7 linked regions of the Rattus norvegicus genome follow. The protein of the gene in region 5 purifies or fractionates together with the protein of the main gene of each other region. This does not show direct contact. Links are inferred from orthologs where the notes say so. Each region holds a gene or a part of one and is shown on either strand. Other genes may lie near its edges. The genes, in order: Trip12, Pabpc4, Smarca1, Numa1, Ezh2, Fam120a and Macroh2a1.

Region 1 (3,954 bases), on a different chromosome or scaffold from region 5:
GGGCTGGGGATTTAGCTCAGTGGTAGAGCGCTTACCTAGGAAGCGCAAGGCCCTGGGTTCAGTCCCCAGCTCCGAAAAAAAGAACCAAAAAAAAAAAAAAAAAAAACACCAAAGGACTCTTCTAAAACAGTGGGGACTGTACCCAGTGTGGATGACCAGAGGCAAAGAAAAAGACTAAAGGCAAAGTGACAGAAAGGACTGATGAAAAAAGGAAGCAAACCAAAAGGCAGAGAAAGAACTTGGCCTAGCAGACCCTTAAAAACTGTTAAGTGCTGCACTAGACAGAAGTTTGGTAGGAACGTCTGCACTGATTTAAGCTCTCACTAAACAGAAAATCATTTCTTTTCCTATTTTAATTTGGTCTTATTTCAGGAATTCAAAACCAAAATAACTCATTTGTTTTAGGATACGTCTAAATATCTTCTTTGAAATATCTTTTACTAAATAAAAAAGAAATTTACTTTCCTCAGTTAAAGCACCTTGATCTACTCTATTAGACTCTCATACATTTTTAATATTTGCTAATTTTACAATAGCACTCTCTGGGATTGCAAACAGTTTTCAGACTTCTAGAAAGTATATGAAAAGCTAAACAGCCTAATCAGAAAAAAACTAAATGCCAGCTGGGCCGACTTAAACACTACTCACACTGAAACACAGTGGAGCAGATGGAAACAATCTTTAGAGTTCTACAATTCTTAGTCCATTCGTTGAAAAGCAGGCATATACAAAGCCTACTAGTAATCATGCTACAATGTATAAAAACATACCAGTTCTGGGTCTAAACATGAAACTACGAGTAAATCAAAGAGTCTTAAAATGTAATACTGAAGTAACCGCATAAGCGTAAGAAAATAAGACTCTAGTAATGGCCTCCATAAATTAACTTCAAACGTGACATACAAGGCCTCATATACAGGCCCCTTGCCTTTTTTCTAACACAACTAAGACCTTTGTTCCTAGCATCAGTTTTTTACCCTACTCAGTAACAGCTCTTTCAACTTTCTACCACGTATTTTTGTTTTGTTTTTTTTAGAGATGAGATTCGAAGCCTCAACTTGCCAAGTCTTTAAAATAAATAAATATATATATATATACATATATATATATGTATATATATATATATATATACACACACACACACACACACACACCAAAAATTAGATTGAGAGCAAGAAAAAGTTAAAGATACCACTGGGGCCTACAAACCGAAGAAAGCCTGGAGATCGGGTGATTTGGCAACCCAGGCCAGATCGCGAGCTCAGACTAGGAAGGGAGACAGGAGAGCGGTTAGACCACTCGGAACAGAGTCACTGCGCTATCAACCGCCCCCCACCCCCACCCCCACCCCACCCCCACTCCCCCGTTTACCTAGTAACATCCCCGCCCCCAATTAACGGAGCCAGCAAGCTAAAAAGCAGCCCAGAAGCCAAAACTAAAACCTTTCGCAAACAAACTAAAACGCGTTAACAGAAACAAATCTGCAGGAGGTGGGAAGCCGCCCCTTCTCGTTTCCCTATCACCGCGGATGAATTCCCTCACGTCCACCTAGAATAGTTACAAGGTGTAATTTCGCCACCACCCCCCACCTGCATTTTTTTTTTAATTCTAGTAATGTTTCTGCGTTCTAACTAATGAAGGCTGTTATTCCAAGGAAGTCCTAGACAGAAGACTGGGTCTTAAAACCTTCGTTTTCTGAACATCCCTGTAAACTTGTTTCTCTACAAGAAACCCACTCGATAGGCATGAGTTGAACTGACGGACAAACAGTGTAGTAAGTTTTATGTAATCCACATATATTAATCTCCTGACTCGCTTTGAATGTTAATAGGATTGGGGTGACAATTGGCCCACCTCCCTCACCCAAGCCCAGTTAACCTTTCCGTCCTATTCCCCTGCTAGTCCTCTTAGAGGATCCTGCTTTCCCTCAGCCAAGTTTCTCGGCCTCTACCGCGGCCCCTGCCAGCTCGGCGCATCGTCGTCCTCCCTCAGCCTCGACTTCCCCGCCTGGAAAAGCCGCCCCGCGCCAGCTCGGCCCGGTTCGCCCGCTCCCAACCGTCCCCCCCAGCAGGAAGACCCTTACCGCGGTCCAAAGTCACTCCCGCCTCTCCTCCCTCAGACCCTCGCCTCACAACAGTTGTCACTCGAGCTGCTCCCTAGTTTCCATTTCCGGGCCGTCCACAGCTCAGAGCCTCCCTTTCCCTGTTTCCGGGCCCCCCGTCCCATTTCCGGGGAACCCTTGCTGTCTTCACGCCCCCCACCTGCACTTCCGGCCCCCCACTTTCTCTCTTCCTAGACGCCCTCCAGGCTCCAAAGACCATTTCCGGTCCCTCCCGGCCCCCGCTGGGCTCCCCTAGACCCGCACGCCCTACCCAGATTCCGCCTAGGGCCTTCCTCATCGCTGGAGGCCGGAGCAGGGACTCAGAGCCCCCTCCCCCCCCCAAGCCAGTCGGCCCCGGCTCCTCCGCCGCGGGCTCGCTCGAGCGCCTCACCCGTCAGCCTCGGGCTGCTCCTTCCACGGCCCTGCCGCCGCCAGCGAGTAGAGCCGGGAGCTCTGTCGCTACGATGACACGGGCACGCTGCCTCAGACTTTTGGCTCCGGTTTCCCAGTCCTCGTCAGCCCCCTCCCCCAAAGCCCGACCCCGCCGCTAGGAACGGCGTCCCAATTACCTAGTTAGGCCCCAAAGTCTCTGGTCCGGACTCCGTGGCGCGACGGCAACTTCCACTGGCTCCCCCCACCCCCCCCAGCGGCGGCGACGGCGGCGGCTTGTCGTCCCTTCAATTATCAGCTGAGCCGCAGCACCGCGCCGCCGTGCGCCTCCGCCCGCGCCGCCTCCCTCCCCGCCCGCTCCACTCCAGCCGGGGACTACTTTGTCCTGAGGCTTCGGCCTGCGGGATCCTCCGCAGGACCAGCCCCGCTACCTATTTACAACCCATCCTATCGCCCCTCCCTCCGCAACGCTCAACTCCAGTCGACGAGCGGCCTCCAGTCTCCTTCCGATCCCTTCAAGGGACCAGGAAGGGGACTGTGGCGCTCCACTTCGTATCCCTCCGCTGGGGTCACCCCCCGCCCCTCCGCGCTAGCAGGAACTAAATTCCACTTCGGGTCACCCAGGACCTGACTGTAGAAATTTCACAAAGCAAGGTTCCTTGTGAGCCCTGGTAAAGGAAACCATCACCCCAAGTTAAAACCCCCACACTGCCAACTCAAAAGCGGACTTCGCTTTAAAGTGAGGCTGCGGCCCCCTGACCCCGGTCAAGCCCCGCCCCTTCCTGGTTGTCTTAGCGACGGCGGTGGCGTCCCAAGATGGCGTCGTGGCTACCGGAGACTCTGTTTGAAATTGTAGGACAAGGCCCGGCGCCGAGCAAAGACTATTACCAGTTGTTGATCACCCGAACTCAGGCAAGTGCGACCCACGGTTTCCTGTCTCTCCTGACCCCTTCCCCGCCCAACAGGGCCACCCGATGGGGGCCGCTCCAGGCAAACAGCCACCGTGGCCTGCCGGAAGCGCCGCTTCTCAGCTCACAGCCAGAGATCTTCCCTCGTCACCTCTGCTCGGCGGCCCGAGAGTCCGTTCTCTCCCCAAGGCGGGCTCGTCCCTGGCGAACCTTCCTTGCCTCCCCACAAATGCCGTCCGCTCCCCTTCCTGCCTCCCGGCTTCCTACCCGCTGCGTTCCCTCCGCGCGCGCCGAAGAAAAACAGGCGTCCCTGCTTGCGTGCTGCCTCACCTCAGCGTGGGAAGGAGGGAAAGAAAGACTCAGCTAAGTGTCCCAAGGAGAAGCCGGCAGGGGGAGAAAGGGACGGTCTCTCTTCCAGGGTAGGACTTAATCCTGTGGCGTTTTGTTTTCCCCCCCAAGAACCTCGCTCCAGCCTTTACAATAACCACACCAAAACTCCTCTTTTTAGAAGGAATGGCTGACTGAAACGTCTTCCCTTACCTTGTTGGAGCCTCT
Region 2 (2,899 bases), on a different chromosome or scaffold from region 5:
GATTTCTGAGCATTTTCCCAGAGCTGAAGCCTTGTTGCACTTGCTGACGTGAGCAGGTAACTCCAGGAGACAAACTTTACTCCAGGAAGAGAGTGGAGGCTTTGACTAGGGATCCCTAGGGTTTGCAGCAATCCCGAGGGGCCTAGACTTTGCTGGTCTGAGCATTCTACATTCAAGTATACTGTCATGGTATGCAGAGCATTCTGATGGCTCAATTCAGCTCATTTTTTCAGGCTTGGGCTGAGCTGACTTCAAACTGGGTCTCACTATCCTGTAGCTCCTACTGACTCCAGCTAGGACCATAGGTGTCAGCCATGAGCTCAGGGCCTGGCACATGCCAGGCAAGCTCCACCCCAGTGACACATTAACTTACTGCATGCTTGCTTACCCAATCCTCCTAAAAAGGAAAAAGTAAATTCATTTAATACTAACAGTAGTTCTAGCAAAAAAGCCCAAGATATAGAATAAAACTGATTGGCAACACATAAAAACAGCCAGACTTGGAGATTTTATTTCCTTTATTGAGAAACTTAAGTCTTGGGTACATCAAAACCAATTTCTGGGAGAGGGGAAAAAAAACAGAACTCATAATAGAAAAAAAAGTTACCATCATCTGGGCCACAACAGAACCCAGAGAATATATTCTTATAATTGAAAAATTCTAGGTGCTTCATAATTGACCTTTTGATACAAAATGACCTGTTGAATTTGTAACTTGGTTCTTGAAAGAGGTCCACAGACAAACTAGGAAGTCTTCAGACCTCAGCTGAATGCCGTGAGGGGTTATTTGGCTTTTGACTCCTGAAAGAGAGCAGCACCAACACAAATAAGCAGCCCGCTATAAGAACTCCATCAGCATCAGCTGCCCCATCCCGCCCTGACTTCAACTGTCCATCACCTCTCAGGTACCAGTCCTACAAGACCAATATCCCTCTGCACACTGCTCTCCCAGCTTGGCAGGACACAATCTCACCCACCTCAGGCCAAGCTAGCAAGGTATAAGATATGCATAGATGCAGGTAGGTCTTATGATGTGACTGCCACTATGTCAGGCCAGGAGATTATTCATTTCTATGTGGTGGCCAAGCATGTGATCAGGTGCTTCTAGGTTGCTCAGACTGAGCAGCTGGGTACTAGGGCTCTGCCTCCCCAACGTGGACAGCTGGGATTACAGACATAGTCATGGACGTAGCCCCCCAGCATCCTGGAGGCTGAGTGAATCATCCTGGGGCATAGGCTAAGTAAGGCCCTATGTGAAACACCAGAGAGGCAGAAAATGTCAACTGTCAACATACTTCTGGTTTAAGAGGTAGCAGCAGCAACAGTGCCCACCTTCTGGGCAGCTTCTTTCTTGGCATGATGAGCCTGCAGGACTGCCACAGCTTCATCCACCTGTGGAAGACGCCCAGATGTTCAGAGACTGAGGGGAGCCACCCCAGGTGCTCAGTGACCCACTTGTCTCTCCTGGCACACAGACGTGGTCAATGAGTAGAAGATCCCCCAGGCGGGCTCCTCCTGGTGCTATCTCTTCAACAACTTTAGCAGTAGCTCAAATCAGACATGGGTGGCCATGGGGGCCACAGACCTTTCTCTCTGGACGGCCCCCAAGCTCATTCCCTGAAGCTAAACCGTGATGTCACAGGGTCTTGAAAGGCAGCTCACCTTGGAACGGAGGGACTCGGGGGACTCCAGCATGTGGAGCAGCTCAGAGTTGTCGATTTCTAGCAGCATCCCTGTAATTTTTCCAGCCAGGTTTGAATGCATTGTTTGGATAAGTGGGAACAAACGCTCCCCTGTGGGCAGAACAGTTGCCATCATAAAAGTGTCCAATCCCAGTGAGCACCAACTGACTGACATTTTCCCAAGCATGGAACTTACCCAGCATCTGCTTCTGCTCCTGGGGAGGAGCTGCAGCCAGCATGGAGGCAGTCAGGGGTTCTTGACCCTGGACATGGACTGCAGGCTGGGGGGCCTGTGAACCAGGAGAGGCAGTGGGGTTAGCACTAAGGAAGACTATGTGAAAGGGAGCGGAGGTGGCAGTCCTGTGCTCAAAGACAAAGCTGGCTAGCTGTGTACTGTAAGCTATTGGAAGGGGAAGATGCTGACCAACAAACCTGCCTCACAACACAAGGCCCTGCAGTCAAAACCAGGCCCCGGGAGACATAATTTGTGATTTTCATGTAGTCTTGGCTGGCCTTGATCCCCTTGCTGCCAAGGGCCAAGGGCTGGGATTACACGTGCGTACTTCACAGTATTTATGCACTTCTCTTCAATGCCTCCCTTACGTTATTGTCAGTACATACAGAGGCAGGAGCCAAAGAGTGAGAATCAAAACATTCCTAACCATACTTCATTATCCCCCGGTACAGGATGTTTGGGTTTTCTGTGTACCCTCTCCGAACCCAGGCTGGCCTCAGTAGGTGCTGACCTTTAACTCCTAATCCTTTTGTCTCTACTGACCCAGCACCTGGATTCTGGGATATGCTAATAATACCCTGGTAAATTCAACCTTTTCTTTTACAGGACTGGGGCTTGGTCTAGGTGTTTTTAATATATTAGCAATTATTTGAGGATCATTAATATATGCAACAGTGTTGCTAGAACCATAAAAAGGTGTTACAGGTGAATTAGCACCAAGTTCCAAGAAACCCCCACTGGAGAGAATGATGAGAAGGGAGACTATTATTAAGAATAATTCAAAGCAGCTTCTACTCCTGAAGTTGTCTGGGCAGGTGAGGCCCAGTCATAGCAAACTGCCACCAAGTTCTGAAAGTGGCTATGCTTTAGGTCACAGCTTAGGCACCTTAACCTCTGAATATTCTGGGAAGCTTTCTGTTGGGTGTTCTGTATATGTGTTTGACGATGTAGGGGAGGTCAACCCTGGGGCCTGGTTCCTCAG
Region 3 (3,500 bases), on a different chromosome or scaffold from region 5:
ATTGTTTTGTTTCTATATCCTACCTCATTCCCAAGAAGATGCCAGATTGCTCGTTATAAAAAACATGGAACATAAGTTAATGGTAAAACAGAAATGAAAAGTTATCAAGGAAAATTAGACTAGAAGATAAAGCATAAGAAAAGAAAAAAGAAAAGAAAAGGAAACCATCAGGGGCAGACCTTAAAGGATGAAGAGATGCTGCCTTTTGGCATTGCACTTTTCTTTGGGCTTCTTGGAAGCCAAAGTTCAAACAGAAACAAGAGCAAAAGAAGAGGTGTCGTACCACTTCAGGAAACCTCCATATGATCTTTGAGCAATGCAAAAGGTTCTATTCTACAAGTTATTTGAACAGTTATAGACAACAAACATTCTTTTGCAGGCTGGAGACATACTTCAGATGTCGAGAGCACCTTTTGCTCTGACAGAGAACCTGGGTTCCATTACTCGCACTCATGTGGTGGCCTGCAATCAGCCGTAACTCCAGTTCCGGGGATCCTATGCCCTCTCCTCCCCGGGTGCTGCAAACACATGGTATTCATATAGGCAGGCAAGCCACTCACACACATAAAGTAAAAGAAAGAAATCTAAAAAGTAGATTATTTTGCCACTAAATAAAGCTTTTGGGCATAGGGCTTAAGGAAAGCTCAACACAGGTAGTTCAAATTTACATTAAAAACTTGTAGTAAATCAGAACATTCTTTGAATACCAGTGCCTTACCATTTCATCAGCTAAAATACCATTGACTCCATTTTCATACAAAGAGATCAACCAGTTTAGTCCTCGAATCTGATAATCTCTCAGGGGTCCTCCCTTCACATCTAAAACAGAAATGAAGAACCTCTCAGACTTTTACTAGTATACTCAAGGAAATTGGGTTTTCTACTGAACTGCAAAAGTGACCATGAGTGTGATAAAGTACTCACAAGAAGGTGAGACCTCAAATCTAACACACACATTCGATGTTTTCCTACTCTCTGACAGAAGCTCCTCATCTTCCTCTTGTTCTGTGCGCCTGTGGCGATAGCTAGGTGAAAAGACAAAAAGAAAAACTTTCACATTCAGGCCAGTGCGGAGACACCAAGCTAGATTTGCAAATGTCTTTTATTAAAAAAGGAATGTGTTATCTAGTGTCTGGCATAGAATGTGGTAGAGCAGTCTAAGTTTTGGGGTTTTTTTTAACTAATTATGTTCTGGTGAGAAAAAAAGACAAAGATTGGTGTTTCCAAAACACATTTGCATTGCCAATAATCATATTATTCACAGAAAGTTATCCTGAGCAAATGAAATGAAAGGGGGAGGGAAAAGGGAAAAGGAAGAACGTAGAAAGACTACATACTCTCCCACAGAAATCAAGCTCTGCTTGTCATCTTTCTTTACTCGAGGACGAGCCAGTTTCATGTTAAGAGGAGATGTTGGAGACTTCTGTGCTGAAGGTTGAATGAAATGTGCAAAAAGTTCCGTCTGCTTCAGCAAAAACTCAAATCTCTTCGCTCTGTCTGCTTTCTAATTTACAAACGAGAGGGAAAAATAAAGATTTTCTTTTTGTGTTCATTCAAAGTTATTTATCAAACATTTATATTCTGCTTCAGTTATGCAATAATCTCGATGCTTTTAACATATTAATCTACCAAATTCCCTTTGAAATCCATAAGATGGCCACTAAGGTCATACCCATTTTACAGATGATAAAATGGAAGCACAGAATGGGCAAGGAATGCTCCCATGCTTCCCCAGATTGTAAGTAACCAAACTTCACAATGCTATTTCAAGTAGTTTGAATAGAAATAAAATGACCTGACAGATTTAATAAATGCTCCCAAAAGAAGTATACCCTTAGGATTGGAAGCACAGGGGAGCGGTAGAGTACTGCCAAGACCCAGAGTTCAATTCCCAGTGCCCAATATTACAAAACAATCAGAAAGTCAAAATTAGAAAACGAATCCTCTTTCTAAACATGATCCTCTTTTTCTTTAATTAAAAATAATTGCGACTTGTTCTCTTTGTTCTTCTCTGCCCTTCCTTGTCTCTTTTTTCCCCATACTCCCTTCCCCCCCCCCCATATGCCCATGGCCAGCCTCCTTTCCTCTTCTCTCTTCTTCTCTCATTAAACCTCTCCACATGGAAAAAAAATAATTGCCAGGCTGGAGAGATGACTCAGTGGTTAAGAGCAGTGACTGCTCTTCCAGAGGTCCTGAGTTCAATTCCCAGCAACCACATGGTGGCTCACAACCATCTGTAATGGGATCTGATGTCCTCTTCTGGTGTGTCTGAGGACAGTGACAGTGTAGTCACATACATAAAGTAAATAAATAAACCTAAATTGCATCAATTATGTATGTACTAAACATAGAAACACATACATATTGGAGCCATGCAGGGTGGCACACAACTTTAATCCTAGCATTTGGAGGACAGAGGCAGGACAATCTCTGCAAGCTCAAAACCAGCCCGGTCCACAGAGCAAGTTTCAGTATGGCCAGGACTTCAAAGAGAGAACTTATCTCCAAAAAAATCATAAACAAATGAATAAAATACACATAAATTATCATAAATAAATGAATAAAATACACATAAATTATAATACATACATACTATAAAGTTTGAGAATTACCAAGCTGCATTTAGAAATAACTGAGGGGTTGGGGATTTAGCTCAGTGGTAGAACGCTTGCCTAGCAAGCGCAAGACCCTGGGTTCGGTCCCCAGCTCCGAAAAAAAGAAAAAAAAAAGAAATAACTGAAATCTAGGCATAGAACATCAGCTGCTCTTAAAGATATTTTCAATATCATGGTACAATAATGTAATGACATTTTTCTTTGAATTATGTCATTCTGGAAATTTATACTTTATGCTACTAGTATGTAATGTTTCTCCACAAGAGAATAGAACTTAGAGAAAAATATAGGTACACATATATGTGAAGTAGTTCGTATATATTAAGTATTTCCATACATAACGCTGTTGTTTGTGTAGTCTAAAATTTCAATACATTATCAAAATAACTTGAGTTGTTTTATTTTATTTTTATTTTTAGATTCATATTTGTTTCTTAATAAAAGAAAGAAAAGGCATGGATTTCGATGGGAGGAGAGGTAGGGAGAATCTGAGGTGTTAGAGGGAGGGAAAACATAATCAGAATATAGTAAAAAAAACTTTTTATAGTAGATAAATAGAAAAATAAAAATAAGCTGGTTCACAACAAAACCTTAAAAGATCAAGAGTTTACTTCATCCTAAATAAAGGAAGAGATAAAGATTTTATTTCTAGCCACTCTCCGATCACTCAGCAGAGAATACTTGATTACTGGTAAAAAAAATTAATAACACAGAAACTTATAGGAGAATTCATTAGCATAGATACAAGACTTAGAAAAGTACATCCAGGGTTGGGGATTTGGCTCAGTGGTAGAGCGCTTGCCTAGCAAGCGCAAGGCCCTGGGTTTGGTCCCCAGCTCCGAAAACAAAACAAAAACAAAAAACAAAAACAAAAAACAAAACAAA
Region 4 (3,500 bases), on a different chromosome or scaffold from region 5:
AGGTCATGAGCATGGGTGTAATTTGACCTCTTTTACCACACACAATTGCAGTCAACATTCTGAGAACTCTACTAGCTGCACACTCCCCATGTGCACTCCCTCCCCTCAGCTCATCTCACCTAGAGACAGACTGCCATGAGACACACTGCACAGTAGTGACAAGAACTCAGGACAGGCTGCCAGGTTCAAACCTGGCTCTATCACTGTGGATCCCTCTAAAGCCCAGTTCTGTTTAAGGAGGTATAATGAATAGAGCCCAACATGGTGGCTAGGGGGAAAATGAAGTTGTAACTGCTCCAAGAACTCAGAACACTGGCCCACAGTGCAGAACACGCTGTTTGATAGAAACAGTAACTGTACTGCGAACCTTGCCTTCAATACTGTCAGGAAACTAGGATGCAAATCCAACCTGTAGTCCTCAGTGTGAGCACTTCTGAAGTCCATCAGCCTTTGGCTGCCAGACCTACTTGGCCTCACACTACAGGCTGCTCCTTCACCCGCCTCTGCACACTCTTGTAGAGTTTATCAAAACTCAGCAGAGCTTCCTTCCAAGGCTTTCCTAACTGTTCCACCTCCTTTTCACTTCTCCTGTGCCCTACGCAGGCATCTGTCATCACAGAAGACCCACGGGCTAGAACAGCGCACACTCAATGAACAGGCCCAGGACAGAGAGGCATGTCTCCTGACCTAGCGACACTGCACGGGGTTCCCTCCTCCAAGCTCAGATCCAGGCTGTCAATACTTAGGTCCAGCTGGGGTTTCACTTGAGGCTCACGGCTCTTTAAGGCATCAGTTGCCACCTGGAATTTGCCCAGGTCTCGAAGCTGCTGGTCTGCGTGGGCAACCTTAGAAGTAAAATAAAAAGAAGCCTAGAGTAGGGGTGGCCTTGGAGAGGAGGCACGTAGTACAACAGATCAGGGTGAGGGGCTGCTGTTGAAACAGATGCTCACCTGGGCCTCCAGGCTGCGCACCTGGGCTGTGAGGTGCCGGCAAGCCTGTTCAGCTTCCTTGGTCTTCAGCCCTGCCTGCTGCAGCTCACGGCCCAGACGTTCAGTCTCAGACCGCAGCTCCTTGTTGTCCTTCTGCAGCTGCTCCAGGTCTTGAAGCTGTTCCCGCAGCTCTTGGTTCTGCTGCTTCTTGGCATCGTAATGGGTCTTGGCTTTCTCCATCTGTGTGGACAGACAGGGTGTGTGTGTGTGGCAGAGCCTAGAAATGGTCAGGAAGAAGGGCAGAGCAGGCTGGCTCCTGGCCCCGCACCTGTAGCTTGTAGTGCTCAGCTGCCTGCTCCTTCTGGCTCAGCTGGGCTTGCAGCTCACTCAGCTGCGTCTGGAGGCACTGGACCTCCTGCTGGCTTTCACCTCCCTGGGCCTGGAAAGCCTGAGAAATCAATCAAAACAAGGGAACTCTGATTACCCAAACCCACTGGCCTGCTTCTGCTGCTCAGTTTCCACAGGTCCTTCCCAGTCTTCTGAATAGATTCTCAGGACATCTAGGGACGCCTCAGTCCAATGCACACACCCCCAACCGCAGCCTACAACCAATTCCATTCTCCCTCCCAGACCGTCCGGCGTGTGCTGACCATCTGCTGGCTCTAACGCTTCTCACAGTCCTGCCGCCATCTGAGGCCGAGCACCAGGAATCTCACCCCTGTACAAGGACATTCTCTCTCAAGGGAACAGAAAGGGATCTTCTGAGAGTGCCCTGGTCTAGAGCTGAGACAGCTGCATGTGCATGTGCATGCCAATGACAGGAACTCACTTCTCCAAGAAACAACTTTTATCCTTGTTTTACAGAAGAGAAGAGACCAGGGATTTAGGCAAACTGACAGTACAGTAAACCTTGAACTTCATCCACCTACTCCAAAACTGGGGGTTGACTCCTTTACGATGCCACCACTGTCTCCTAAGGGAACCCTAACTCCTCATGAGGAGCAGCAGCTGGTCCCCGTATCTGCAGTGTCAGCTTGGTTTACCACAGGTACTGGGTGGGACTACAAAACTCCTCCATCTGCTAGCTCATAACAACCCTAAAAAGGGACATGACAAACCTGCTTACTGTTCACCACAGACCACGGACAAGGACGCTGAGAAGGAAACTGAATCCCAGAGTTCCTCTACCTGGGATCCACTATGTGCTACACAAGTCCCTGTGGAACTGGTGCCCAATCCTTTGCCCTTAACTAAGGGATGGGAAGCTTAGAGCTGCTGAAAGCAAACACTGGAACGAAGAAGGTAACAGAATTGGGAGCATTAAGTGTTAACTGCACTGGTCATTATGGCAAATGCCAAGTAATCTCAGGACTCTGGGTGGCATAATGGGATGGGGTCTCCCATCCCAAGGAGGGCAGGGATATGCATTCTAAGATTGAGAATTGTTGAAACTCTCAACTCTTGAACCCCAACTACTTACAGCAGGGCTTTCCCACAGAACTTTCTGGGATGGAGGAACTTGTCCTATTCTGTCTTGCAGTCATTAGCAATTGCCCTACTGACTGGGAAAGTGGCTAGGGTAAATCAAGAACAAACAAAGTAACCTGTTCTGAGGTGCTGGAGCTGAGCCTAGGTCTTCTGTGCACCAAGCAGTGCTCTACCACTCAACCAGACCTATGCCTTGATATTTTTAACTGAAAAGCATAGTTGGCTGTAACAGAGAGAAGGCCTTTCGGTGAGAGATCCCTGAAGACAAAGCCAAGGTTTCTGAGGCCCAGGACAGGTTCCTGGGCAACCAGGCCCCCAGGGAGCACCTGCTCTGGCCTGGTACTGCCCAAGGGCTTAGAGAAGCTGTCCCTCCACCCTGGCGCTCTGAGGCAGAGGACAGGCCTGTCCCACGGCTGCCCCACCTTCAGCTTCTGCTGCTGCACCCTGCTGGCTTGTTCACTCTCTGTCAGCTTCTTATTCAGTTCTTCCACCTGAGGAGCAGAAAAAGAACAAACAAGAAGATGAGGGTGGAATGGCTTTCTTGGTTTTCAACTAGACCACATCTGCAAACAGCTAAAACCCAAGCAACTGGGCACAGCTATGAGGGATTTTTCTCAATTGGATCATTTGAGGCGGGAAAACGCACCTTAAGTCTGGGCCACACCTGGTGGCAGCTCACATAAAAGGACATAAAAGGAAGTTTTTGCTCTTTGCCTGCTTGCCTCACTTTCTTGTTCTGGATATGCATAACCAGTCTAAAGATTTCTAAGTGTGCCTTGGGAGAATCAAAACCAAAATTCAAGTCCTAGAAGGTGTCAACAGTTAAAGTAAGGGCATTTATTAAGGAATGTGATCCTGTAGTTTGGTCTGGCAAGACAACGAACACCGCTGTTTCTCAGGGCCCACCAATAATTTATAGCCAAACCTAAAACCAAGGAGCTAAATAACTTTGCTAATTCATTCAAGTATTCTGTGTGGGACACCTGTGTGGGGTAAGTTGTAAGGGTGTGGGGTTATGGTGGAAAGAACATTACAACAGATCAAACTGAGTTCACTGATTCAGGCCCATGGAGGAGAGATTCT
Region 5 (3,500 bases):
GTTCATAAATGGCAGTAATATTGCTCTGAGCTGAGAACTGCCTCACTACAATCATTCATTATAAAACAGCCTTGTCAAGTGTGAAGACCTTCACTTCAAGTTACTGGGAAGCAGTGAATGGAATGAAATGAGTACAAAAGATGTCAGAGGAATCCTCAAAGAAGAAAACAGTCACAGTACGGGGTGTGACATATTTCTCAGCCTTCACTATAAGACTGGTCGGTATATTTTGGTTGTGACAACTGACATCAAGTTGCTTTACTACATATTTCAACAACAAAGATAGAAAATGAAAACGTACAATAATTGCACTTACGATGTAGGAAGCAGTCATACTTAAAACATCGTCGACAAAAGAGCGTATGAAATGAATGTAAACTTTGCTCCCTCTGAACAGATTTGGCATTTGGTCCATCGATGTTTGGGGTACATTCAGGAGGTAGAGCACCGGGGAGCTGCTGCTCCGTGAGTTCTTTATACCTGACACCAGACAAACAAACAAACATCACTTTTTTGCACAGTGAGTTTCTAAAAGGTTTTCATGGGTTTGATTTTTTTTTTAAGTTTATATTATCTAAAAGTCAACCACAAAAAAAATCTAACCTACAGTAATCTTTACTTGCATTAAGAACCAATCGTGTATTATGCATGGGAAATAAGAATCAAGCTCATTAATACAACTGAGGTATGTAGCAGAAGAGGTTATTACATTAGTTTGGATTAACTATAAATCTCTACCAGCGTCCAGAAAAGGTTTCCTCAATATATTAGTATAAACTGTACATAGGCATAGAATATGCATGAATACTCATATATGTACTCAATATGAACTAAAAATTTTCTAATACACAGTAAAGTATGTGTGTGTGTGTGTGTATGTGTGTGAGAGACAGAGAGAGAGAATGCTTGAAATAATAAATCAAGAGATGATAACATGCACAACTGCCCCAAATTAAAAAAAAAGAAAAATTCCTACTCACTTTTCTTTCAGTTCTTCTGCTGTGCCCTTATCTGGAAACATTGAGGAAATGGCTTCAAATATTTTATCAGCAGGAAATTTCCGAGGTGGGCAAGTTTCTTTATCTAAACAGTGAATTGTGATAGGGGGAGATGGAAGAAACAAGTTTCAGCTTCATTTTCTCTCTATCACTGTGTCTCAACAAAGCTGATGTTCTAACAACTTGTCAACTTTGGTTCACTTTTGTGGAGGTTGGAGAGGAGGGAGTAAGACAAGATCTCTTACTGTGTAGCCTTCCTTAGTTGGCCTGCAACTAAGTAGACCAGGTTGACTTCGAAGCTTTAATAATTACTTTATTATTTTTTAAGGTGTGCATGTATGTATGCTTATGTGCACCTCCCTGAGTGAAGACACATGGGTGTGCACACCATTGTGCACATGTGAGGGTCAGGGAAGAACTTTTGTGGGTCAGTGCTCTCCTATGGTGAAATTAAGAAATTCAAATCAGGTCATCAAGACTTGCTTGGGGGCTGGAGAGATGGCTCAGAGATTAAAAGCACTGACTGCTTTTCTAGAGGTCCCGAGTTCAACTCCCAGCAACCACATGGTGGCTCACAACCATCTGTAATGGGAACTGATGCCCTCTTTTGATGTGTTTGAAGACTGCTACAGTGTACTCACATACATAAAATAAATAAATAATTCTTAAAGAAAGAAAAAGACTTGCTCAGCAAGCACTCTTACCCACTGATTCACCTCGATAGCCAACTTTTCTATTCTATTGTCTCTGACTCCCAAGTTCGAGAATGACAAGGATGACTCACTATCACTGGCTTGGGGGTTTTGTCCTATTTTGTAAGACAGGTTTGCCTAGTTTAGCCCAAGATAGCATAAAACTCATTACAAAGCCAGGGATAACCTTGAACTTCAGACTCTCCTGCCTTCGCTCAGATTACAGGTGCTGAGATTACAGGCATCACCAAACCCTCTATCAGTTATTTCTTATGGAAAAGCTTGTCAAGATGCTAAGAGTACAAGAAGACAGATTCCCCCAAATTTTGATTATTTGACACTAATAGTTTTCTGTCAGAGCTGATCATTAATCCACCTTCAGAACTGTCCATCACATGGAAGAACTTAGCAATCACTTACTGACTCCGGTGTGTTTCTGTTATAAAGAATACATGTCTTTTGAAATTGCAATTTTCTCCTAATTCTGCTTGATAGTAAGCTTGCTAAGTAGAAGACAGAATTATGGGCTCTACTTTGGGGTAGACTGTTTTCTAGGAACACTTAACAAGTGTAGAGGCAATAGCACAATTCTCGAGTCAGACTTATGTTATCAATTTGGGGCTCAGATTCAACTTTTTCCCAATATTGCAATCTTAACTAAGTCCCATAGTCTTCAGCTTCTCTAAAGCCATTTCTAATATATAATAAAGCTGTTAATATGCCATAAATCATTATTATTATTATAAAGATAATTATGATAACTGATCAGCAAAGTCCAAAAACACATGTCCTTTTGCTAGGCACAGGAAACGAAGAAGCTCTATAGAGAATGAAATGCTGCAGAGAATACATTTGATCATACTGCTAAGATAGAACACTTAACAAAAAGGGGAGAGTTACATTCTACCCCAAAATGGGTGGTTTTTACATTTATTTACATATATCATATGGTTGTATGTCTGCCACAGTGTACTGGTGTGAAGATCAGGGGCAACTTAGGAGAGTCAGTTCTTCTCTTCCACAGAGTGGGTTCCAGGAATCTCGATTCACCAAGCACCTTTACCGACCTGATCTTACCAGCCTGGTACTTTTATTTTAAAAGAAGAATTATATAAGGCTCAAACAAAAAACTAGTATTAAACATACCATCTCGACTATCGTCTAGATCTTTCTGTTTTTCTTCTCTTTCATCAGGATCGTCTCCATCATCATCATCGTCATCATCATTATATTGACCAAGAGCATTTACCAACTCCACAAAAATTTCATCATTTATAAATCCACATTCTAAAATCCAAATGTCAGAAACAGGGAAAAGGATAATGACAAAAGTCTTTGTATGCATTTTCTTTTTCTTTTCTTTCTCTCTTTCTTTCTCTTTCTTTCTTTCTTTCTTTTTTTTTTTTTTTTTTTTTTTTTTTGTATGCATTTTCTAATCTGGAAGAATAGCGAAGGCCTATCAGCACTGTAACCGGAGGGGCAGGTAAGGACAGTCAAAATCAATTTCACAGCCAGCAAAGAAAACAGCATTTTCCTTCAGTATCCGTTGCTTTCTCAGAAATCACCCCTCTCCAGCTGGTCCAGGGCACATTACTCCCTTAATCATTGAGGACCTGTGGCTTTAACCTCCTCCCAATCTGTGTCACTGACTGACCACTTCAAACCTGTTTTCCACTATAATATGACCACAGCTCCCTTTGCTCAGATATCAAAAGAGCCTCCTGTACACAGAAACCTGAATCCAAGATTCTGATAACTTAATTTCACAGGCTCTGGCTGCCCTGAGGAAGGGCATTGTTGAACAGGGAGG
Region 6 (3,500 bases), on a different chromosome or scaffold from region 5:
AAAGGCAAGCGCAGCGCCCACCAGCCTTGCTGGGCAGTCTCACAGCAGTAGCCTGCCCTAGTTATCTGTCCCATTAGCAGTGCTTAAATTGGCAAAAGGACACTGGACTCACAGGAAAGACAATTAATTCTTTCCCTTTTCCCAAACAGAATACCTTAGGGGACAAGGGAGATACACTAAGATTTCTGCAATCCAATTTGAATCAGCTGTCCATTTGTGACTTCTGATGCTCTCTAGGAAGAAGTCTCATCTGAATCCAGGCAGCATTCTACACTCTGGCCAGGCAAACAGTGCTGTTTCAAGAATGTCCCTTTAACTAGCTGCTGAGTCTGGATGAAGGGAAGGTTTGGGCTCTCTTCTCCAGGAAACCCAAAGGTTCAGGGTGTCAGGGGAGTTGATGTACCTGATGGGCCGGTGGCACCGCAGAGCAACCCTCATATTTGAGCCACAACATAAATAAGTTACTTTCCAACTTGCCCAGATTCCTGGGATCTCCAGCTTTGGGGCTAAAACAGCAAGACCTAGGTCAAACAGCACGACCTAGGTCAAACAGCACCTACCTGTGGTAGACAACTTTGGGCTGCAGAATGAAGGAAGCCCTCAGTTCGCAGCACCAGAGCACTCTGTGATCTTGAATACTCACTTGGTTGCCCCTCCACTGCCCTCATCGTTGTCTGATGAGGACGAGGTAGACGAGCCAGGGAAGTAGGCGGAATCCACGTGATTGGGGCTGCCGCTCTGGGCCAGGTTGATGGGCGAGGAGCGCTCATACAGCGGTGTGTGCTTCCCCTCGTGAGGAATGTTGCTGTAGCTGTTCTGCTCTGTCAGGTTCTTCCCGCTAGAGTCCAGGGCGAGGGCAGGCTCAGGGAGGCTGTATGGGTATGGAGCCTGGCCTGGGGTGCCCCCTGGGCTGGGCACCTGTGGGACCTGAAATGCAGAACACAAATCAGTGTATAGGGCTGGTGGGGCCTGAGGCAAGGCTGAATTAGTTTTGTCCTCTTCAGTCATTTCTAATCTGACAAACTGGTATCTATCCTTTCTATCAACACAAGAATTTAAAAAAACAATGCATGTCCAAGGCTCACAGGACTAACTTGACTCAGAGGATACCTTACCGCGGGCTTTGCTTGCAGAGAAGTCTGTGGAATGTTGAGCATCTGAGGGGGAACATATGGTGGCACCATCCCAGGCATTCCAAATGGATTTGGTCGGGCTGTTTTATCAATACAGGAAGAAAATAATAAGACAAGTATGAAGAGAATGCCATATCCCCAGGATACCCCCGAGTTAGCCCAGGGCCCATATACCTTGCCCCCTTCAGCTGCCCCTCTTCCCAGAAACCTTTAGAAATTCAAATTTAACATGTGGCTCCAGAGGTCATAGTTTCCTTATCTTGTTATAAAAGTGAAAAATAAAACCAGGCAGAGCTCTGAAACTTAGCTCTCTTAAGATCAGAGGGCTTTTCTAGCCTCTGCTCTAAACAGCACTGGGCAATGAAGGCACACATGACCACCTCTTCCTCAGCCAAGTACGTACCCTTCCCAGAGTTCCTCACTCTGCCTCTCTGAAAGCAAAGTTCCAAGACCAAACTGTGGGGATGATTCTTAAACAATACAAGTTACAGTCAAACCAGGACTATAAATGAGAACACTAGCCCCCTCACTGGCCTAACCTGGTGGACACAGGGTTTCCTGAGAGCTACCGTGCAGCCCAAAAAGGCTGAAAGAGAAGCACAGATCACGGCTCACTTTCTCCAGTTCCATCAGGATCCAGGAGCCTCACAAGCTACCAACTCTCTAGAATTCTCCTCTCCAGACTGCAGCTCTTAGCTCTGAAATGCCACAGCAGGACTCTGACCCTGGCTCTCACTCACTAGAGAGTCTAGCACAGCATCCCACTTTGTACTGAACAAGAAAACTGCTGTCCAACAGCAGGGAAGAGTGAACTCGGCACGAGCACGCATGGGGCACATTTACACGTGCGGACACACCAAACACGCATGCATCTGTGCACAAGTGACAAGCCTACCAGCTCCCCTCCAAGTGTGAAGCCAGAGCCACTACACCTGTTAAAGAGACTCTATGGTAATTCAGAGTCACAGCTAGGAGAAGGGACAAAATATGCTATAAAATCCAGCAGTGCTCAAACATTATCATTGGAATCACTGTACAAAGTCTGGTTAATTTATGGTAGCTGACCTTTTCTATTTAACTTTCTGTTTGTTTTGTTTTGTTTTGTTTTAAAGACAGGGTTTCTCTGTGTAGCAGCCCTGGATGTCCTGGAACTCACTTGGTAGACCAGACTGGCCTCAAATTCCAAGGCCTCTGCCTTCCTAGTGCTCAGATTAAAGTTGTGAACCCCAACCCCCACTAACTTCTGAATAATGAGAGCATGGCCTGGATGTGTTGGTTACAGTTGTCACTTTCAGGAGATGGTCACTTGGGCCATGCTACTTTTGAATATAACAACTAAAACCTCCCTAAAAAGCACAAACTTTCCTTTGAACAAACAAAACAGATTAACACAAAAACCAAAGACTCTCTTCAAACTGTATTTCTATTATTTTGTGTGTACAGTCAGATGTCACATGACTGCAGGCCAGAAGAAAAGCAGCAGATCCCCTGGAGCTGCCGGACAGGGGTGCTGGGAACCTGTCACTTCTTTAACCTCTGAAACACTGCTCCAACCCTGCCAGAGCCAACATTTTTACAGCATTTTCTAAAAAGCACATTGTAGTCAATGGCTTCCTGTATCTCCAAGAGCAAGCTACTGTTCCCTCATCTGTCAACCCTGTGGTAACTGAATGAAGTCTTCTACATCTTCCTAAGAAATGACTGACCCTGAGGACCTGTTGTGGGAGCTCACAGGCCTCCCTTTAAATTGGTTGTTCTGTTCCATGACCAGTGCAGTAGCTGAAAAGAACCACGGTCCCCCTTCTCTACCACAAGAGTGTCTCAGAAGAGACACAGGGCCCAGTGTAGAGGCAACACTGCCACTCTCCTATGTCCTTTTTACCAACACATACTAGAGCAGCCTTTATTAGCAAAGTGGGAAGAACAGAGAAAAAGAATGCAAGAAGAATGCTCAATTAATAAAGTATTTTTATAGCTTAAAAAAAAAGTGCTGGGGCTGGGGATTTAGCTCAGTGGTAGAGCGCTTGCCTAGCAACCGCAAGGCCCTGGGTTCGGTCCCCAGCTCCGAAAAAAAGAACCAAAAAAAAAAAAAAAAAAAAAAAGTGCTAAGCATTACAGACTTCTTCAGGAACGCACAGAAAAGCAACAAATACAGGTGCCTTTGAGCTGCATTCCCTGACTTTTCTCCCCCAAGACCCCAAAGCACAGTTCTATGACGCACCCCAGTGACTCACAACCCTCGTAGAGTTGCCTAGCCTTTGCTCTATATTAAATTAAGATTCCTGTTTAAAGAAATGGTATTAAACTAAAAGCACTTCCAACTAACTGTAAACATCACAGCAAAGCCCTCCCTCCCATCCTGCCCTG
Region 7 (4,053 bases), on a different chromosome or scaffold from region 5:
GACTTATTTCATTCTATGTGTTTTGAGTATTTTGCCTGCGTGTGTGTCTGTCTGTGCACCACGAGGTACCCAGTACTCATGGATGTCAGAAGAGAGCATTGGATTCCCCGGAGTGGAGTGATGAGGATCACATGAATGCTGGGAACAGAATCCTGGTCCTCTGCGAGAGCCTGAAGTGCCATTAAACCCTGAGCCATCTCTCCAGCCTCAAGGCTACCTCTTAAACACACCCCTGCTTACCTTTCCTATTATTTCTTCCGACCCAATTTCCTCCCAGAATTTATACCCTGTAATGCATGACTCCTTTGTCTCTTGCCTTTCTTTTCCCACCACTGTAAGCTCCAGGAAAGCAGGGGGTTTTGCCTATTCTGTTTACCATTCCACAACTACACCCAGATTTCTGCACGGTGTGCAGAATGTCCTAGGTATTTCCTTGAAATAACGAATGCATGGGCGAGGGGCTTTAGACAGTGCCTTTCGTGTCTTTAAAATGCACAAGGGCTGGGGAGACGGCTCAGCTGTTAAGGTCACAAACCCCCAAAACCTGCTGCTATTCTAGTGCAGCCTGGGTCTGGAGGAGAGTCTTTGGTTTTGTGGATGGACTTTGCTGCCCTTTCTCTGGCTGACAACCCCCCACGTTAATATGTAAAAATAAGCACTGCTTAAATTCAGTAGCTCTCCACTTGGAGCCAGTAGTCATCAAACATTTGCTTGGTGGAGGAAGCTAGCCGATTCCACGAGCAAAGCAAACCCAGACTTTGAGGCCAGTTCTGAAGAATCCCACTGATCAAGGGAGTTGAGATGCAGCAGCTGATCTTGGGGCACACAGCTGCTTGAATAATGCTTGTATTTAAAGACAGGGGGCCGGCTTGAGGCGCGGAGTTTGTGCTGACTTTGGAGGAAGAGATCTCTGGTAACAGCAACTGTGCCCTCCCTCTTTGTGGACAACGCCACTGGTGATGAGGCGACACAAGACACACAGTAGGTGCTCACTGCACATGCTTGCCGAGCCGCGCTCTGAACAAGCATCTTCCTGAGGCCCGACCCCTGCAGCTCCCGCGCGCAGACCGATGTCTGGTGGGCAGAGGGCAGGCGGCAAGGCCTGGGTGCAACCGAGGCTGGCGCCGTTGGCGTCCGCGGCCCGGCGCAGGCCGGGGTCAAGGCCAGGGCGCCGAGTGGCGCGGGAGGGGTGGCCGGACGCGCGAGGCCGGGAAGGGATGTGACGAGCGGCGCGCTGTGCATTGTGGGAATCCCGGGGCCGCCGCGAGTGGTTCCAGTTCACTGGTTCCAGCGGAGCCGGGCGGAGGGCGCGAGCGCGGGACGCGCGGGCGGGAAGCGAGGAGGCGTGGGCGGGCAGGCAGGAGTGCGGAGCGGACCGGCGCAAGAGGCCGACCGGGCTCGGGCCCCTCACCGTGCAGCCGCCCGGTAAGTACCGCGCGGGCCTCGGAGCCGCAAGCTGCGGGTCCGCACGGTCCGGGCCCCCCGCGCCCTACGGCCGCCGCGCGCTGGGCTCTGCCTAGAGCCGGGGAAGCTCGGGCGGTTACCCTCGGGCCTCGGGCTGCCCGGGGTCCGCCAAGGCCCTGCCGGGGCAGCGCGCGGGTCCCGGTGGTTTTGTTCCGAAAGCAAACCCGGAAACCAACTTCTCTCGGAGACGCACCCCTGCCCCCGCCGGGGCGCTTTGTGGGAAAGGGGCTGATGGGGTCTCCCCCCTCTCTCCGGGCGGTAGAGCCAGGGGTGGCGCGGGTCCTAGGGCACCGAGGCCCGGAGGCCGAGACCGGTCCGTCCGCCCGGGCCGGAGCCGCTGTGCTCAGAGTTTACTTGCTCGTGCGCCGCTGGCCCGCGCGTGCCCTCCCGGGCACAATAAAGTGGGGCGCGAGCCACGGGCCGTTGTGAGGCCGGCTGGTGGGGCACCCGCCGCGAGGCCTGAGCAGGCGAGGCCTGGGGACCACTCGCGGACGGAATCGCAGGCCCGGGCGGGCTGGAGAGGAGCCATGGAAGCCCCGCTGCTCTCGCTCGCCTTTTGTTTGCTTTGTGCTGGGGAGGTGTTATTTTTAAGGTGACTCCGGAAGGCCGTAGGCTCCCCGCGCGCAGAGGGACAGCTGAGAAGAGAGTCTCTGGGGGTGGGGTGTGTAGAGACCGGAGGCGCGGGATGCTGCTGGCGGTGTCACCTGACAACAGGTGTGCGAGATGCTGAGCCCCGCTCCCACTCCTGCAGAGACCGCCGGTAACTCACGGCCGGGCAGAAGATTGCTTGAAAGAGTCTTAGAAGATATGTAGGGGAAAGTTGTTTTCTAGGTTTCAAAGAGTAACTTTTGAACAAGCCGCCGAGACAGACCTTGGCTCCAACAGTTACAGTCATTATGAAGTCTTTGTAAGATTTTTTAATGATCCAGTAAAACAGCTTAGAAGAATAGACAATTAGGGGGGTTCTCCTGCTCAGTTTCCCTCAGTGCTGACACCTCTGTGGTTTGAGGTTTTACTGTTAAAAGAGAGGAAGTGTTTTGTTTGTAGACTTTGCACCAGGGAGTCCCAGTTTTGAACAGTTTGTGCTGGAGTGGAAGACTCGAGTCTTAACCCCACTAAACTTCTTGTTACCTGTAGGTTAACCTTTAGGTGTACAGTCACAGTTACCATTAACACGGAAATAGACGCCTTGTACCTGCTACTGCACTTAATACAGCTTGTCCACAATTGACCAATTGAGCCAAAGTAACTCAGCACACACACACACACACACACACACACACACACACACACACACACCACCCTCTCTGACTAGATCAACCTTTTCAATTTGTGGGGTTTTTTTCCTCTTAAGGATAAGGAATCCCCCGAGACTTTAGACTTTCCCCCTTTCTCATTTTGCTATGAGCTAGGTCGTTTTCATTGGTTGACTATTCATGTTGATCCCTAGGTAAAGAAGGTATTGGGGAGAGGTGGGTGGACATTGTTTATAGCAGGTACTGATTTATGGTGAGGCAGGGAGAGCCCACACTGTCTACTGAGAACGGTCCGGAAATTCACATGTGAGAACTTCCTCACTGGCTTACTTTCTACCATGTGGACTAACTTTAGGGAGTGATACAGTTCACTCTGCCACCTTCCTCAGGATCTGGAAAGCCATTCTTCCCTCCCATGGGGACATGCTTGGAGCTGATGGTGTCCCCTAGTCGATGAAAGGTCTATTTGAAGAGAGAAACTACTAGTCTGTATGTGGTGTTCAGGATTTGCAGTAGTCTTTGGTTCCTGATGGGCTTTTCGGAGCCCATTCTAGGAACATAAAATGGGAAAGAGTGGGGGTGACTTGGACCCTTACCTGCTAATGCCCCCATCCCTGTTCTGTAGGCTTAGGAGCAGGGGCTCCTAATTGAGGACTCCAAAGAGTCCTATAACTTGCTTGCTAAGAGCAACCCTGCCTGGTTGATGCTTGCAGTCACTCGTATGTCCCAAAAATCTGTTCTGGGTTAGGAAATAGTCATGAGCAAGAAATGCCCAGGCCCTGCCCTGGAGAACTGACTGTAGGTCAGTAGAGGAAGGACAGTTGTGTTAGTGGGGTCGAGTCCTATGTGGCTTGGCGAGGTCAAGAGGCGAGTTTGTTGGGCATAGGAGGACAGGTGGGGGCAAGCGACCAAGGCCTGAGAAACCATGTGTGCCAGTTGTACAAGCTAACCAGTGAGGTGAAGCTAGAATCTAGGGTCAGACGAGGACAGGGGAAACTCCACGGAATCCCATCAGAACCACAGCTGATCTAAGAGCAGCCAGGAACACCCCAAAGTAAGAGTAAGAGAGGAGAGCAGTGGCTAGGCCATCTCTTACCCTTAGTTGGGATCCCCGTGTAGCAAATACCTGGAAGCTTCCAGATACTTGGTCTGACTGGGCTCCTTAAAGTCACATTTCCTCCTGATGGCTTTTTAAAAAAGGAGCTGTCACAGCACAAGCAGGGAGAGGAGTTAAGTGGCAGTGTTGCCCTTTTAATGCAGGACTGGTCCCTTCGTACAGCCCAGAAAGCACGGTGGTGTAGTGCGCGTATCGACCGGCGAAGTTTCAGGCCCC

Evidence for each region.
Region 1: the proteins of Ezh2 (region 5) and Trip12 purify together in Homo sapiens (affinity purification with mass spectrometry; 3 studies listed by BioGRID, with this or other methods). This does not show direct contact. The link is inferred for Rattus norvegicus from reciprocal best matches to the Homo sapiens genes EZH2 and TRIP12.
Region 2: the proteins of Ezh2 (region 5) and Pabpc4 purify together in Homo sapiens (affinity purification with mass spectrometry, with the first as the bait; 3 studies listed by BioGRID). This does not show direct contact. The link is inferred for Rattus norvegicus from reciprocal best matches to the Homo sapiens genes EZH2 and PABPC4.
Region 3: the proteins of Ezh2 (region 5) and Smarca1 purify together in Homo sapiens (affinity purification with mass spectrometry, with the first as the bait; 3 studies listed by BioGRID). This does not show direct contact. The link is inferred for Rattus norvegicus from reciprocal best matches to the Homo sapiens genes EZH2 and SMARCA1.
Region 4: the proteins of Ezh2 (region 5) and Numa1 purify together in Homo sapiens (affinity purification with mass spectrometry; 3 studies listed by BioGRID and IntAct, with this or other methods). This does not show direct contact. The link is inferred for Rattus norvegicus from reciprocal best matches to the Homo sapiens genes EZH2 and NUMA1.
Region 6: the proteins of Ezh2 (region 5) and Fam120a purify together in Homo sapiens (affinity purification with mass spectrometry, with the first as the bait; 3 studies listed by BioGRID). This does not show direct contact. The link is inferred for Rattus norvegicus from reciprocal best matches to the Homo sapiens genes EZH2 and FAM120A.
Region 7: the proteins of Ezh2 (region 5) and Macroh2a1 purify together in Homo sapiens (affinity purification with mass spectrometry; 3 studies listed by BioGRID and IntAct, with this or other methods). This does not show direct contact. The link is inferred for Rattus norvegicus from reciprocal best matches to the Homo sapiens genes EZH2 and MACROH2A1.

What each region holds. Positions count from the first base shown.
Region 1 is NC_086027.1:93,487,340-93,491,293, forward strand, and holds the start of Trip12 (E3 ubiquitin-protein ligase TRIP12), read right to left. Parts: upstream 2,801-3,954; 5' UTR 2,671-2,800; intron 2,496-2,670; exon of another isoform or gene 2,373-2,495; intron 2,241-2,372; exon of another isoform or gene 2,084-2,240; intron 2,023-2,083; exon of another isoform or gene 1,879-2,022; intron 1-1,878. UniProt on the Homo sapiens protein: E3 ubiquitin-protein ligase involved in ubiquitin fusion degradation (UFD) pathway and regulation of DNA repair.
Region 2 is NC_086023.1:140,861,691-140,864,589, reverse strand, and holds the end of Pabpc4 (polyadenylate-binding protein 4), read right to left. Parts: intron 1,973-2,899; coding exon 1,879-1,972; intron 1,794-1,878; coding exon 1,663-1,793; intron 1,393-1,662; coding exon 1,303-1,392; 3' UTR 1,296-1,302; intron 802-1,295; coding exon of another isoform or gene 784-801; 3' UTR 501-783; downstream 1-500.
Region 3 is NC_086039.1:131,934,283-131,937,782, forward strand, and holds part of Smarca1 (probable global transcription activator SNF2L1), read right to left. Parts: intron 1,505-3,500; coding exon 1,338-1,504; intron 1,026-1,337; coding exon 925-1,025; intron 820-924; coding exon 719-819; intron 1-718.
Region 4 is NC_086019.1:165,776,252-165,779,751, reverse strand, and holds part of Numa1 (nuclear mitotic apparatus protein 1), read right to left. Parts: intron 2,909-3,500; coding exon 2,840-2,908; intron 1,378-2,839; coding exon 1,258-1,377; intron 1,170-1,257; coding exon 951-1,169; intron 870-950; coding exon of another isoform or gene 846-869; coding exon 688-845; intron 1-687. UniProt on the Homo sapiens protein: Microtubule (MT)-binding protein that plays a role in the formation and maintenance of the spindle poles and the alignement and the segregation of chromosomes during mitotic cell division.
Region 5 is NC_086022.1:77,642,184-77,645,683, forward strand, and holds part of Ezh2 (histone-lysine N-methyltransferase EZH2), read right to left. Parts: intron 2,978-3,500; coding exon 2,837-2,977; intron 1,084-2,836; coding exon 981-1,083; intron 481-980; coding exon 317-480; coding exon of another isoform or gene 302-316; intron 1-301. UniProt on the Homo sapiens protein: Polycomb group (PcG) protein. Catalytic subunit of the PRC2/EED-EZH2 complex, which methylates 'Lys-9' (H3K9me) and 'Lys-27' (H3K27me) of histone H3, leading to transcriptional repression of the affected target gene.
Region 6 is NC_086035.1:15,935,611-15,939,110, reverse strand, and holds part of Fam120a (constitutive coactivator of PPAR-gamma-like protein 1), read right to left. Parts: intron 1,214-3,500; coding exon 1,116-1,213; intron 928-1,115; coding exon 644-927; intron 1-643. UniProt on the Homo sapiens protein: Component of the oxidative stress-induced survival signaling. May regulate the activation of SRC family protein kinases. May act as a scaffolding protein enabling SRC family protein kinases to phosphorylate and activate PI3-kinase.
Region 7 is NC_086035.1:8,483,297-8,487,349, forward strand, and holds the start of Macroh2a1 (core histone macro-H2A.1), read left to right. Parts: upstream 1-1,253; 5' UTR 1,254-1,425; intron 1,426-4,053. UniProt on the Homo sapiens protein: Variant histone H2A which replaces conventional H2A in a subset of nucleosomes where it represses transcription. Nucleosomes wrap and compact DNA into chromatin, limiting DNA accessibility to the cellular machineries which require DNA as a template.